Linked DNA regions of Lytechinus pictus. The protein of the gene in region 2 purifies or fractionates together with the protein of the main gene of each other region. This does not show direct contact. Links are inferred from orthologs where the notes say so. Each region holds a gene or a part of one and is shown on either strand. Other genes may lie near its edges.

Region 1 (8,042 bases), on a different chromosome or scaffold from region 2:
TCCTTCAAAAGTTTCATGCCTTGATCATTTTTTTCCTTTCTTCTTTGAATCACCTCCCCCTGATGAAGGTGCAGCTACCAAAAGCTTCTTTGGTTCTTTAGAGGCAGCCTGGGAAATGATTTCTTGCTCATTCCGAGAGCTGATTGCCTTTGTGATATTCTGCAAGGGAAAAGAGGATGTTAAATGTCAATCGTATCATTAGTAAAAAAATAACAGTAAAAGGATTATCAGTTCAGTTTAATACATTCACTTGTGAAAGAAATCCACTTGATAAAATATTAATGAAAATTTATCACCATCCCATCTCACCCTGAATCAGATGCCATCCATTCCCCTATCTCCATCAAAGAAACAATAGTTATTTTTAAATATGCTTAAATATGTATAAAACAAAATAATGGAAATACTATTCTAAATTAAAGCAATTCTGCAACCAGAAAAGTATAGTGTTTTCTTTGTTTCTAGGAGACTTGACTTGGACATAATAACCTGTATTTATTCTGCTTATATAAGGCAAACCCTACATTTAAGTCAATCAATCATGAATGATCTCAATGGTCTGTTTAATTAGATTGGTAATCTGTACATCATTGCTAAACTTCATATCATTTGAAATTAATTCTCGAGAGAGACAGACAGTTACCCAAGCATCAGTTTTAATGTAAAATTTAAAATCTGTAGAGTTTTAGACATCAACATGTGTTTGTTCTACTTCAATCTGAGTAAAATTGAATTCTTTTGTCCAATATAAAGTAACATTCTCCTTGCCTCATAAGCTTAGTCATTATCTCAGAGGACCTGCTCCGATTTTGGCCAAATCAAGCAAAGTCTGTGATTAATCACAGACTTTCAATGGTACACTGTGACTGGCAGAGCCCTAAAGCAGATCAGATATCACAGGTATGTCTATCACTTCTCAGCAAATAGTAATCAACTTTCCATGAAATCTCAAGAAAGATGACTTTTATATACAGGTCAATATCTGAATTGAAAGATATTGATTTTCCTTTTTCCATTATATTTCCTTACTGATGATCTAAAATAGTTTCTCACCTTCTTCAGTTTAGCAGCTTCTATCTGCTTTGCTTTCTTAGGAGCGATGAATCTGGCTGAAATAAAATAACAAAAACAGTGAGTTGTAAAATCTCTCTTCCCCATGACATTAGCATTTTCCCAAACATTTAGACAAAGAAATTCAGAAACATTTATAAACATTACTGCAACTTATATATTCCATTTTAGTGACTTGAATTTGAAAGTGGTATTTAATTGCCAGATATGTATTTTCTATGTGAAAAACAAAAAAAAATCAAAATCAATGATCCAATCTAATGTTTAGAGAAAAATGACAGAACAAATGTCTTGACCAATTGCTCTGTGAGAAAATTGAAACCATGTTGAGTTTTGATAAAAATGCAGAGCGATTAGCCCAATGATTTCGCATGATTCTAACCAAAGAAGACACATAACAACCATAAACTTTAAATCTGCATGCTGCAATACATAGATTGATAAAATTTAAACAAAATCAGATCATGATTAATGAATTTCAATGACAATTCACCAGGATTCACGTACAGGCCTCAATATGCAGCCTTTCTCATCGTAATCCATGAAGCCTTGAGAGTGGGTTAATGATATTGGTTGTTCTGTTGGCTCCACTCATACAGAGACCAAAGTTCTTACTCGATCTGTACAGGGACTCAATGGCCATATGTTTATGTATTAAGTTCGGATAAACCAGGGAAGTGGGAGTTGCGCGACACTCAACAGCCAAAGTAAGTCACTGTTTTTTTTCCTTTTAAGTTTATTTTTTCCTGTTTTGGTGCATTTCAGGCCAAACAGAATGATTTATTTTGGTCCAGTTCTTTTTATATATTTTTATGAGATAAAGACAAAAATCGATTAGCCCCGTCGGGGGAATTTTGCATTGTAAACCCCCTAATGGTGGCTGCATGATCATGAGCCGTCTGTGTACAAGGAAAAATAAAAATTTTTAAAAAACTCCTCGAAACAGATGGCTGCCAGCTGTACTTTAAAAAAATCTTATTCTTTGAGTACAAAATGTAAGGAAATATAGAAAAAAATAGATAACAAAATTGAATTCATATCTTAGTGTAATCCAAAGACAAAAAAGGCTTCAAAAATATAAAGTGACCCCCCCCCCCCTATACAAACTGCATTGCAGTGGCTAGTGTTGCCCTGTATGTAGTGTAGTGTATAGCGTTACTGATTTTTGCGCGAATAACGCAACGTGAGGGATGATTATCAGATTGACCCAGCACAGTGTTTCCACTCTTCCCGAAATTCGGAAAATTTTGACTTTTTCCAGGAAAGGTTCGGGAAATGAAAAAATTCCAGGAAATTTCGGGAAATTCAAAATTTACAATTAAACGTAGCAACTATTATGGGCACTAGTATTCAACCCGGCATATTTCAAAGATTTGGACAAATTCCCCCAAATATTTAGAAAAAGGGAACTATCTTAATTTCATACCTTTGTTATTTTCAGGGTAATCTGTTGTCAGTATTTTCTTAATCAATCTATGCTCGGAGGAGCGAATTATGCGGCCATGACCTTTTGCACTGAATTGCACTAGTATTCAACTTAGTGATGATAGATAGTGAATCTCAAAATGGTTTAGATTGCTAAACTAGATCTAGATCTATGTAAGTCTCTGGCTTTGACTAATTCCCTGTTTGGTCTCATCTCAAATGGTCTAGTCCATAGTCGGATGGGACAAGGGCAGATTGAGAGACAGGGCCATCTTTCATCGCTAGGTTGAATACTAGTGCCAAAAACCATCGCCGTATAATTCAATCGCCCGCGCACACAGTCGATAGTTGAAGAAAAAAAATATAAAAAAGCAAAAAGAATAACCAGCATGCTCTTGAAAATAAGACAGGTCTGAAATTATAGTAAATTCCATATTTCTATACATTTGAGGAAACTCTCCAAACGGGTTGAATACTAGTGCCCTTACGGTACGTAGCTCAAAATTTTCCGCTCTCGCAAAGTCACATTTTGTAATTTTTGTTCCTATAGGTCTAGTCTAGACCCCTTTATGGTAGGGGGTCCTAAAGCTACACACCACTCATCGCGCATGCAGTTTTTATGGCAAATGTGCACTCTGTGTGTGGAACTGTGACTGCAGAGTGACAAACGATTCTTATTCAATTTTTTCTACTGTAAATGTAAATCTCTAAATGCAGAGAAAACCAACAACTGTTTGGAATTTTGAAATTATATTCGCTTTAATTTCATTTTATCCTCTAATACTGTGAACATATTTTAGAAATACTATTTTTTTGCATGATAAATCAAGTGCGTAGCTTTAGGACCCCTTCTCTACATTTAACATTAGGCGGCGAAATCAAGAGGTGTTGGAAAACACGGCGGGATTTTCGTAGTTTGTGATATTTTCTTCTTGGTTAATGATCTTTAGAATGTTAAGTTTGCCACAAATTGGTGAAAGGTAATTTGTTCAAATACTAAAATTGGCATATCTTTTATCTTTACTACTAACAAAGTTAGTGTGAGTGGCTGAGTGCCCCCATCATACCTATTTAAGGACGTTCCACAGTTAAAGTGAAATCCATGTCATTTTCACGAAACTTTGCACATAGATACTTTAGAACCTTAATGTTCGAAATATGCAAAAATTAACATAGGTCCATGTGCTTGATTTTTTGCTATAGAAGTTCAAAGTTCACCCAAATTGATGTTCTTAAGAATTGCGCATTCAAAAGAATTTGGCATTTTTAGACCGCCCAAGATTACTACAATGAGTTTAAACCTGTATTACTCAGTCAAAATACATGAAAAAGTCATCAAATTTCGCAAGAGAGTTAATAATTGTATCATTAGAACGGAGAATATATTCATAGTGCTATTTGTTTGCAATTTTAAGTTTAACAGCACTGTCAGTTCTTAAAAATGGCGTAAAAGATAACAAAATCCCAATCTAAAAAATGTGAAATTTCAGTAACAAACTACAAAAGTACAATAAATGCTGCACTTTATTCAAAATCCATGTCATTTTCACCAAAATTTGTAGAGTTGTAGAGGAAGGTATACTTAAGAGGAACAAACATTAACGTTCATGTGCTTGTTTTTAAACTATCAGTATTTTTATTAGAGCAAATGTGCTTTTTAAAACACCAAATATGCGCCGAATGCTTTGTATCTATGTGAAAAAAAAATCAAAACCACTCTACCATTTATTCAAACTCGGGGTAATATTTGTGATTCTTGGCAGCACTGCAGAGTAAAGTATTTTGAAATTGTAGAGAATCTTTTTTTGAATGGTCCATGGAATAATTCAATTTTTTAGCTTCATGAAAAAACGCATCGGATCTGCAGTTAAAGTGCAGAAGATGAGAAAAATCAGCACATACCCGCAGCTAATTAATCACCTGTTCACCCATTGTGACGTCAGCGCGCAGAGTGTAAACTATGCGCAGATCATAATGCGCACAAACATGTTACTGTGGAACGTCCTTTAAAGAGGGCGTGAACAAAAAAATGCTGAATTCCTTGATTTGGCCACCTGGACCAAATTTAGGCTTGCTATATTATTCATTTATTGCCCGATTTTTGTTGAAATCAAACATGAAAATTCCAGGAAATATCTATGAATTTCAGGAAATTTGGTAATTGGGATTCAATTTCGGGAAATTTATTTTGGAGCTGTGCCTGTGGAAACACTGACCCAGCACAAATTCTTACGCGTCGGGCAATGCATACCGTAGATCCTCTCGAAACTAAATCTACCTACCTCCTCTCTTTGGCCCTTTCTTCTTCTGATGAGCATATTTTTGCTTATTTCGACTACCCTTTCCTGGGACTTGCACTTTTGTTTTGATCTTTCCTTGAACCATCCTGATACTGTCACTTCAATATTCTATATTTTAATCTAAAATCGGTCTGGTTTTTTTTTCGAAAACGGAGCGACGTGAGCATGGTGAGTGACGTCGAAAGGTGAAAGGGAAGGGACTCACTCGATTTACACATGATTGATAAGATTAAGGCTAAGCTAAGCCAGAGCAAGGACGTAAAAGGCAATAAAGATAATTATCAGAGGTAATTATAACTACCATACATACTGAAAAGATATAAAGATTAACATAAATAAGTCTTTCTCTCGACTAAGTACCGTATGTGACGTGAATTCATGCGAGTATGAACTTGACATTTACAACCAGCATGTGTTGCGAGCGATTTAGCTCGTGTACGATTTTAACGGATCGGTCACATAATTGTGCTTTAGACCCTTTACCTGCGTGTATAAAAAATCTTACGTACAGGTGATAGGAATAGACTAATAACTTCGGGTGAATGAATATGAATGAAGCAGTAAAACTAAAAAGGAGAGAGCATCCAACCAACTCAAACAGTTGGCCCGGCTTCTGTTGCTTTGGCCTAACTATTTTTCCTGGTAAAGCCTACAATAACAGTTAACACAAACCAAGCAAACTATTTTTTTTTTTTTTGGGGGGGGGCAAGCGCAAGGCCGCCCCCCCCAAAAAAAATTCACAACCAAACTGAGGGCGAAACTGAGTCTGAGTAGGGCAAGTGCAAGCCAAGGTCCCAAAAAATATAGAAAGAGAGAAAAGGAAAGGGAAATGGAGGTCTTCTAAACTATTATTGTCTATTCTCTGAATATTAATCAAAATCTATAAAAAAAAACTTTTTGGTCCAAATATCTGCCCCAGCAGCCCCCTACAATTTTTTTTTTGGGGGGCTCATTATAAGTGTATTACGTCACTGGATGTCATTAATGGAGAGCATGAAATTTAAAGGTTTCGATCTGAACCAAGCTTGCCAAACTTGGCACTTTCGAACCGAACACAAAGCCAAAGGCCTGGTTCGATGGTTCGGTAAAAAATAGGCCCATTTTAATTGAAAGTCCAATTTTGCCCTATGCGCGGCACCGGTAATCCCCTCACAGCTGGGTGGTCCATCACGGCACCATCACACTTACGGGCGCAGGCCGCTTGTAAATCAGAGAGGGAAAGTTGATCGAATGCAATTTAAAATGCTGATATTCGGACCCAATGCCAATGGGTAATATTAATATGAATAAATTTTACAGATCATAATCAACGAAATATCATAAAAGTTAGGTATAGATCTATCTCTTCAAATGCGTCAATTCTAATATTTTTTTCCGGAACGGTCCGGAGCTGAGGCCTGTACTGTGTAAATGTGTGAGCATGGAGCTCCCGCATCACACTCACCTTCAACTTCTTCTTCTTCCAGTCTGGAACAGTCACTGGCGTATTATCGTACCTTGTGCTTGTCAAGTGCTGAGTGTACGGTGCAGCAAAAAAAAACAGGACTGAAGCTTAACAAAGCTTGACACACTGCACCTTCAGCTTGAAAAGCTCCAATGACCAATGAGGTGCAGTTGACAGCGACAGGCGGTAATGAGTTCCACAGCCTGATAGCTTCTGGGTAAAATGATGTTTGAAGAAATCGTGTCCTTGCATAGGGAACCTGGAGTTTATGTGGATTTCCACGAGTGCGTACGTGGCGCTGCTACTTACACAAATAGGAGTATGTGGGGCACTGGAGGATACTCGACGATGCAACAATCGCCGTAGAAATGCCCCGTAGATTCGTCATTATATTTTCAAGGCGAACATGACCGAACAAATAATCTTAGCATCGAAATCAAGTTTGAAATGCTTTTTCCCCTCATTGTAATTTCTAAGACAGGAGCATACAGGAAAAGGTTTATAAAATATAAAGCAAGAAAAACAGACGAACATAAATAAATAATATCCAACTTTCTCCGTTCGTACTATGGCTGGATTGAATTAGATTTCAACGTATTTGGTGTGTGTGCAAAGGGGATCATCTCAGAAGTTCAACCTTACATCAAAGATGTATCAGGAATCCGTACGAAGAGATATGAATGTTGGAAGGCCAGCAAGTCATGTTTCGATTTTGAAAAAAAATCAGAGCTCGAAGGGAAGTTATGTGGAAGAACGTCGTTTACGGTGGTGCCTCGCAGGGACCTTAAAAAAATCACTGACCTGAAATTTTACGAGCGGGCTTATCGCGTTACGTAAGCGGGCTCTTACTTTCACCTGGCGGCTCGCAGATTGATGTTAGATATCGTTCCTTCGCCAGAAGGGAGCGATAACAAAGGATTAACAGAGGAATTGGAAGAAGGATCTCCTTCTGTGTTTTATAGCTTCATGGTAATATGATAACTTCCGTTGGGCGTAAGTCATATCGATTATTTTGTAAACAGCTTTAATTTGATTGAACATCGATGCATTGAAATTTGAAGGCGGGAAAATCAAGTCAATTTTTGTGCTCCGTCATGACCGTGCTGAGGGACGGGTTAAGCGTTGCACAAGTTTGATGTTTGATGTTTGAAAATCAATCCTGACATGATATAATTTTTTTTAGAAAAGTGCACCCATCACTCGTTCAGGAATTTGTGATGTCCGTCATTAAAAATGGAAACGAAATACAAATGTTTCACATCAAGCCCTAAATTCATATTATTAATTATCATTTGCAAATTATTGTCAAAATATTATGATTAAATAATGTTCTATGGTCATAATAAGAAATATTGTTAATGAGAACAAGATTTATTTTACGTTGGTCGCATCATGATTTTCCTTTAAGATCAATTTCGATCTTGTTTGATTAAAGCACAATGTGCATGCGCGATCGATAACGATAAATTCCATTCATGAATTCATCGTGCATGAATTATCTCAGCATTCAGAGTGAGACTCGAACTAGGATAAAAATAAGCTTCAAATTAATGGTGAATAGGCATCATAATTACACAATATGTTTCATTTTGTGGAAATATAGATCAAGTGGGTAGTAGTTATTAAGTAGCCTACTATGAAAGCATGGCAAAATCTCGTACATTGCAGCTCATTGACATTGGTTTATAACGTTAACTGCATTGTATGTAAACTGCATGCACGCTGCCCGCGCCCCAGGCCCAAGACAGATTTCATTCATAGAAATTAGTGAGTGAGCCCTGTGGCTTGTGCAAATACAGAAC
Region 2 (8,082 bases):
GTTTCAATTTCATGTTGATTGTTTTAGATTTGATCTTTATCTAGTCTCATTTCCACTTGATAACAAGTACACGCATTAGGCCTATATCTCAGATTGCAAGTACAGTATTCATGTTAGCATCAGATATGGAATTCAAGAAAATGAAATATCATCAATAAAACTAGAAAATCATATTATTATCCTGTTAGCACTCTTATTAAAATTACCAAGTCAATCTCATTCTTTCCACTGTCTCATCTTCAGGCGCCTTACATGTACTGCAATTCAGTTTGAAGAAAATGTCCCCTTCTAGAGTTGTAGGATTGCCAGTTTTGAAGCAAGCTATGAAAAACAATAACACACATGACAGAAATAAATCTCAGTATTATGTATTATGCTCTTCAAAAGGCCAGACACAAAATTGTGTTCCTTTCCATAATAAAATAAAATTGAAGATGTTGTTCAGTATGTCTGTGTCATGAAAATACAAATAATCAAACAATTAGAATTTAAAACTTCCTCATTGACCTACCTAAATGAAAAGACTTCTTGCATTTTTCACAGGAGATCATCGGACCATCCCCTTTGCCTTCACAGTAACACTGATCCCCCAAGGACTCGTCCTCTGTTACATCTACATTTTCCCTCATTTCTTCCTCCTCGTGGATGATGGTCACATTAGAGGACTCTTCTTCTTCATCTTCTGCATCATGGTCATCCACTGTCTCCATGATAATGTCTTCATCCTGTGACTTAGCTTCCTCCCTATTAACTCCTGGGGATTTCGTATCCATGGAAACCACATCAATTTCATCATTTTCCCCCTGCACAAGGATGATAGAAAATATGTTTATTCACTTCAATTTTGAAATCTTTATAAAGTAGAAATATATTGCCAATCCCCAAAATGGAGAATTATATATCAAATCAAAGCAGAAAATCAAAGAACATAGTGGTGTCCCTCATTTATCATGGAGACAGATGAAATTCAGTTAATTGATAGTTTTAAAGTTCCCTCTCTGAGTGCTTCGAACACGTAAATAACGGCCTCAAAATTGGTGATTTTTAATGACGTGTATGCTGGTGCGAAACACGATTGGTTATCCCACATCAAGCTCCACTTGCATCCAAAACCTGTAGGGAGGGTATGTTTTCTCCACAAAGTTACTGAAAACATCGATCACGAAATGGAAGAAACCCAGAAGTTCATCTAGATTTAAATTTCAAAATTTATGATTTTGAAGAAGAGATTGATGATGAAGAATATAGTTAACTTTTATATGACGAATTTTACTAGAAACAAAATGCCCTTCGATCATTTTTAGTTAAAACCGTTGGGGGGGGGGGCTGGCCAAATAAAATTTCACGCAGGACAAAATGACCTTCCTTTTTTTTAATAACCTTTGGGGGGGGGGGTTGCCAAATATTACGCAGACAAAATGGCTTTCATTTTGAGTGACAATCTTTTTTTTTACTTGTCAAATTTTAAGCGAGACAAAATGACCATTGCGACAATCATCCCGAATGTTATGTCAAAATCTATCAAAAAATTTATATTTGTAATGACAAAATTTTTGCTCGCTCGCCTCTTCATCTGGCAGGCGCGTACTAGCCAGGGGGTGGTGCCCCCCCCCCCAAAAAAAAAAGTAGGGGGGCGAAAAGAGAAAAAGGAAAATGAAAAAAGGGAGGGTGTAGAACTGATTTGTTTTTCCTTCTTGGTTTTTTTTGTCAAAAGAATAAAAACCTTAACGAAATGTTCTTCTATAATTAGGTCTACACTCACAATTTGATTAACAATAGCAGCCATCTATGAGGTTTAAAATGGCTAAATATCCAGAGGTATCGAGACCCACCTGCTGATATAGCAGTTTAGCACTGGGGTACAGGATGGAAGGGTTAGGCCCAGTGGCCCCCGAATGTTCTACAACCAAGATAGAAAAAGAAGGGAATTAAAGAAAAAAAATTCATAATCACGTAATAAATTTTAGTATTTGTTAAATAATAATTTTTATCTATAAATTGTTCTTCAAAACAGCATTTTGGAACATCGCTAATCGAAGGTATGGCATAACGAAGCGGTTCAAGGGTCAGACCTATTGTATTTGCTTTGTTGGCAAATGGATTGAGGGATCTACACGAGATCATTCTGGTAAGAAACCTCTCATTTTTGCCATTCATAGTGAAATAATTTTTATACCTTCATAAAAAATCTAAATTTTAGGCGTTTGAAGGTTTCAATAAAATTCACTTATTAATTATAAACCGATTTCACCCTGTATAGTGTATTATATTAAAATATAGCATTATTTATAGGCTAAAATATAGGGCAGTAGGGAAATCTATCCAGGTCTCACTTATGCATATATGCATATATGGGAGACGGTTCAGGGCTCCATGAATGATGAAGAAGTTTAGATCTATGTCAAAATATTAAAAAATATCATCATGGAGTCCTCAGGCTCAACTTAAGACTAAGAGTCAATGCCAAGTCCAGTCCCACATATTGCAATTCATGTTCCTGTTGGCTGTTGCTTGGTGTTGAAAATTATAAGCATGATAAAATACGATCAGACTAGTCTACATTCATTTAAATTTTGATTTCCTGACCCGTAGCCCCCACTCCTAACAACTTCATGAATATCATTACTACCTGATCAGCTTCACTTGAAGTTACACCTGACATCGCTTGTTCAAATTTTATTTCAGGTCGATCGGTCAGCTGTCAGATCAGTGGTAACTACTGTACTGTACTGGTGGCAGATTGGACCGCTGCGCTGCCCGCCCGCGCCGCCGCGGTATGCGCTGCCGCCGTTCGGCCAGCTGTAAAGTTAGATCCTAATTAGTAATTCCTATATAAGAAAAAAAAATCCCAAATAAAATTGGAAGTTTAATACAAGTAAGATTTAGAAAAATGTTGGCTAGTATAGATTTTCATCAATATTATTATTGTTAGTGGTTGGACCCCGTGTTGGACATGTCAGACAGCAAGACCTAAATTTTAACAAAAGACTCTTGAATGCATATCTGCATGCAGGGGTGTATGGGGGGAGGGGGGGGGGGGGAGGCGCCCCAAAATAAAAAAAAGGAAAAGAGAAGAAAAGGGGAAAAGGGTAGCTTTGTGGGTTTCCGGTTTATATTTTTCTGAGAAGAATCAAAACCAAAACGAGACGTCGTCTCTCTCTTTCATATGTAAATTTTCTTCCCTTTTAGCGGGCCGGGCCGGGGAAATCGCGTCCGATGCCCTTGCGCTAACCCGGTAGTCTCCCCCCCCCCCCCCCCGATTTCCCTGCCTCTACTATTAGAGTATAGTGTGTATTTATTGCCAGCAAGTATATAAAAGGGCTTAAATAAAATAAAAAAAAGGAAAAGAGAAGAAAAGGGGAAAAGGGTAGCTTTGTGGGTTTCCGGTTTATATTTTTCTGAGAAGAATCAAAACCAAAACGAGACGTCGTCTCTCTCTTTCATATGTAAATTTTCTTCCCTTTTAGCGGGCCGGGCCGGGGAAATCGCGTCCGATGCCCTTGCGCTAACCCGGTAGTCTCCCCCCCCCCCCCCGATTTCCCTGCCTCTACTATTAGAGTATAGTGTGTATTTATTGCCAGCAAGTATATAAAAGGGCTTATGCGTCGGGCATGAACTTAGATAGGCCGAAGCACTAGCGTACCTACGGGGGGGGGGGCAGGGGGGGCACTCTGCCCCCCCTGACGAGTCACAACCCATGCAAAAACGTATCTTTGCCCCCCCTGACGGGCTTGAAAAACCTTTTTTGCCCCCCCCCCCCGGCGAGCTTTAAGACCTTCAATGCCCCCCTGACGAGCTTGAAGACCTTTTTTTTTTTTTTTTTTTTTTTTGCTTGTCAATTTTTTTCTGGTACGAAATCCTTAATTTGTGATCGAAAAGACCTTTTTTTTTTTTTTTTTTTTTTTTTTTTTTTTTGCTTGTCAAATTTTTTGGTGGACGGTTTTGCCCCCCCCCCTGTGAAAAATCCTAGGTACGCCACTGGGCCGAAGTATAATAGGCTCTCTCTCAACTCAAATTGATGACACGCAATATTGCTGCATTTCTGATAGTAGCGGATAGCTATTTTGCGTTGTTATACAGTGCGTATCAAAAAAAGTTTACACTTCGAAAAAATCCTGTAAAATTACACATTTGTAATATCCTGAAGATTTTTCCACATTTTAACATTGGTACAGATCCATTTAACCCCATTTAAGCAAATGATGATATAACTGTCGAAAAATATTTCCGCTTGAGTGAGCACCACTTACTTTTGAAAAGTTAGTGAAAAATGATTTGCGCAGAACTTTGAAATAGGTATATATGCGAATAAAAGTTGACCTTAATCATGAAGAACACGTGGAATTTAGCTAGTAAAATTGATTTGAAGATATCTTTTACCTTTTTTAACTTGTTTCCTTGCCCAAACCACTTCGAGGAGTGCATTGCACCCCACCCCACTCCCCCACACACCGAGGCCATCGTGACGAATTTGCTTTACACTGAGCTGTGATTTACATAAAATGGCTTAGGCTTGATTTTCATTTTGTTAATCATTGTCAAGCTTGGGAAAAGTGTGGACAAACAAGTATTAAATGAAAAATGAAATGTAAACCCACTTTAAATGATAAAAACTGTCTGATATAAACTTTTGTTCAGATTCAGTTATGTCCTCAGCAGTGGCGTAGCTAGGATTTTTTTCCTGGGGGGGGCACTGGGGGGTCCTTGCTTTTTCAGGGGGGGCACCATTTTTTCCGTTGTGTGTGTATGTGTCACAAGGGCGGATCCGACTTTCGCCAATAGGGGACGGGGCCCGAAATTATCTTCACCTATATTTCCCCCGATCAGTCACTTCTTAGATTTATTCTTATAGAACAACATAAACATGAAATAATCTCATAAGCCTTATAAAAAGTGCGAGCGCGAAGCGCGAGCGATTTTTTTTTTTTTACTTTCATGTATTTTGTCCTGAAAATGTAATATTCTGTGCAATGTTATGTGTGATCCTGAACAAGATTCGTATGTAACTAGATGGTTACTGCGAAGGCCAAGCGCGAGCAGAACTTTTTATTAACTGTTCTAGCATTATCGAAAAGGGACCTGTTAAGGACTGCTTACAGTTACCCACGAAGACGGTATATATTTCAATAATGCGAGCGCGAAGCGCGAGCAAATATTTTTTGACATTCCGACCTAAAAAATTGTCATTCTAAGCACTTTTTGTATTAATAAATGGGATAGGTATGTAACTAAACAATTGATGCGAGCGCGAAGCGCGAGAGGAAGAAAATTGAGATTTTAGACCTAAAAGCGGCTATTCATATTTTGTAAATCATAAATAGGATATAGTTAATTGGGTATCATTAATAATGCGACCGTGAAGCGTGAGCAGACAATTATTGATATTCTGATGTGAAACTGGATAATTTAAGTACATTTAATATAAAGAACATGCAGGCTATCGCGCATGTTTTCGATTTAGACCTAGAATCTGGGCAGTCTGAATACATTTGTTTAATGGAACATTATGAAATACACGTAGACAATAGGAACTTGGCAAATCAAACAATTTGACCACGCAGCGTGAGCTTAAAAATGCTGATATGTAGACTATAAAAGGGACGTTTTACAGCTAGAACACTTAAATTTGTTAATGAAAAAAAATTGATGAGAGCTCGATGTCCGAGCTAAAATATATTTTGTATTTTGACTTCAAAACTTGCTCCATATCAGCCTATTGAGCAAGATATGAATTTCATCGAACAGGCAATTCTGGCGCAAAAAAGCGCAAGCAAAAGTTTTATATAGTAACATGAAAGATTTGTTTTTTTTTTGCAAGTCTTCCCTTCACATTATTTCATTCACTCGTCTTCCTCCTCTTATTTTCCTCTTCTTTTTTTTCTTCTGTCTTTCTTCTTCTTTTCCTGTTTTTTCTTCTTTCTCCTTTTTTTTTTGCTCTGCCAATTTTTTTCAGGGGGGGGGCACTTGGGGGGGCACACCAAATCTCAGGGGGGGGGGCACGTGCCCCCCCAGGCCCCCCCGTAGCTACGCCACTGGTCCTCAGATCCATGCAGCTGGCACAAAAAAGGTAAAGGTTGTGTTGAAATTTCAATTTGGGTGGCAAAATTATTAGAAAATGCTGAAATGTATCCGTTTTATTTCAATTTACTAAAAGTGCAAGGGAAATGTATGAGAAATGTTTCGCAGGGTAAGTTTGATTTCGCCCTTTCCCCTCGACACAGCGTACAAACGAGCATTTCTGCGCAAACAGATTTCTGCGAGCTTTACAAAAATGGACAGTGCTCACTCAAGTGTAACATTCTGTCAAAACTTTTACTTTCATTGGATAGAAGAGACCCAAACCAAAGATTATATGTGAAAAAATTACCCACATGTTGTATATTTTTTAATTCCCAGGGCTTTTTCAAAGTGTAAACTTTTTTTTGATACGCACTGTATATCTCTATAATCCCAGCTAACACAACGTTATAATAACATTTTTGAAAGATCTTAGAAATGCTTTCAAAAAACATTTCTTGAGAACATTTGCATAGCATTAATGAAACAAATTATTCCCCTTATGTTAAACATTATTTCATTAAACGTTATTAATTATTCCCCTTATGTTAAACATTATTTCATTAAACGTTATAACCATTTTAGCAATAACATAAACGTTCTTGTAAGGTTATGAAAACTATGTTAATTCTATATTTTAACTAAACGTTTTTGAAAAATGTTTTCTTAATATTTTTTAATGTTATTATGTTATGATTTTTACATTTTTTTCCAAAAACTTAACAATACATTTTACTATAACCATTTTGAAGAAAAATGAAAATTAAGTATTGTGAGAATATTCTGACAATAACATCAACCTGAATAGAAACGTAATGAAAATATGTTTTTATAACAGTTCAGCAAAACATTTTTGAAAAAAATGCCAAAAATATTTCAAAATGTATCCTTATTTTAGAGTCTTTAGAATACAACTGTTTTTAAACTTTACTATCATGTTTATAAAGTTAAACATGGGCTCTAAAAATATTTTTAAAGGTTGTTATAATATTACAGCAATAACATAAAACGTTCTTGAAATGTTATGAAACACTAAAAAAGAAGGATAAATATTCTTTAATATATACGCTTTTATGATATAACATTATTTCAGAAAAAATACATTTTACTAACATCATTCTTATAATGTTATACATAATGTTTTAAAATATCATTTAAACATTTTTCTAGAAACAACTATTTTCTAATATCTTTAAAACGCTATGCATTGGGTGTCACAATAACATCGAAAAATTATGAAAATATGTTATTGAAAAAATAGCTAAACATTTTTGAAATGTTTTCACAAAGTGTTAATGAAATGTACAACAAACGTCCTTATTTTGACGTTTTTATGACATATCATACCCCCACATATTTTCAGAAACAAAATGTTTTACTAAAATTACGATAAATACACTGGAGATGAAAAATACCAAGTTAAAACATTGGTAAAACGTAATGATGATAGCATTAAAGGTTGTAGAAGTTATGAAAATATATTTTCAAAATATTTAAGCTAAATAATCTTGAAAAGGGGGGGTTGTTTTCCCAAAACGTTAATAAAAATTGATTCTAAACACATTCTTTAAACAGTGGCGTAACAGGCGGGGGGGGGGGGGCAAGCTGCCCCCCTGGCGGATTTCACCGGGAAAATAAAAAAAAACGGGGAAAACATAAAAGGGAGGTAGAAAGAAAGAGAAAGGGGAAGGAAAGAGGGAAAGGAAAGGAGGAAAAGGAATGGGAAAAGTGAAAATAATTTAAAACAAAGAAAATATATATCTTTTGAAATGGAAAAGGAAAGAAAGCGGGAAGAAGAACGAAAGAAGAACATTTGAGAAAGAACAAATCATTCCGAAATAGGACTATGTAGTGCAATAGCATGATGGGAAATAAATTAAAAGATGACAAAATGGCAAACAATAGCGGGAAATGAAGGTAGAATGGAATTAGTCAAAAGCTAAATTGGAAAACAAAGAAAAGGGGCAAGAAATAAAAACTTAATATCACGACCGAGCGGAAAGAAAGATGGACTGCATGCAACAT

Evidence for each region. The genes of interacting proteins can lie anywhere in the genome.
Region 1: the proteins of cysteine-rich protein 2-binding protein-like (region 2) and transcriptional adapter 2-alpha-like purify together in Drosophila melanogaster (affinity purification with mass spectrometry; 3 studies listed by BioGRID, with this or other methods). This does not show direct contact. The link is inferred for Lytechinus pictus from reciprocal best matches to the Drosophila melanogaster genes Atac2 and Ada2a.

Annotation. Positions count from the first base shown.
Region 1 is NC_087246.1:15,005,289-15,013,330, reverse strand, and holds the start of transcriptional adapter 2-alpha-like, read left to right. Parts: upstream 1-4,941; 5' UTR 4,942-5,083; exon of another isoform or gene 5,084-5,604; intron 5,605-8,042. Other genes in the region: leydig cell tumor 10 kDa protein homolog, read right to left, coding at 25-159, 1,054-1,109, 4,779-4,881. UniProt on the Drosophila melanogaster protein: Component of the histone acetyltransferase (HAT) complex ATAC; predominantly involved in acetylation of histone H4, including at Lys-6 (H4K5ac) and Lys-13 (H4K12ac).
Region 2 is NC_087247.1:43,280,713-43,288,794, reverse strand, and holds the start of cysteine-rich protein 2-binding protein-like, read right to left. Parts: upstream 3,023-8,082; 5' UTR 2,663-3,022; coding exon 2,630-2,662; intron 804-2,629; coding exon 512-803; intron 322-511; coding exon 207-321; intron 1-206.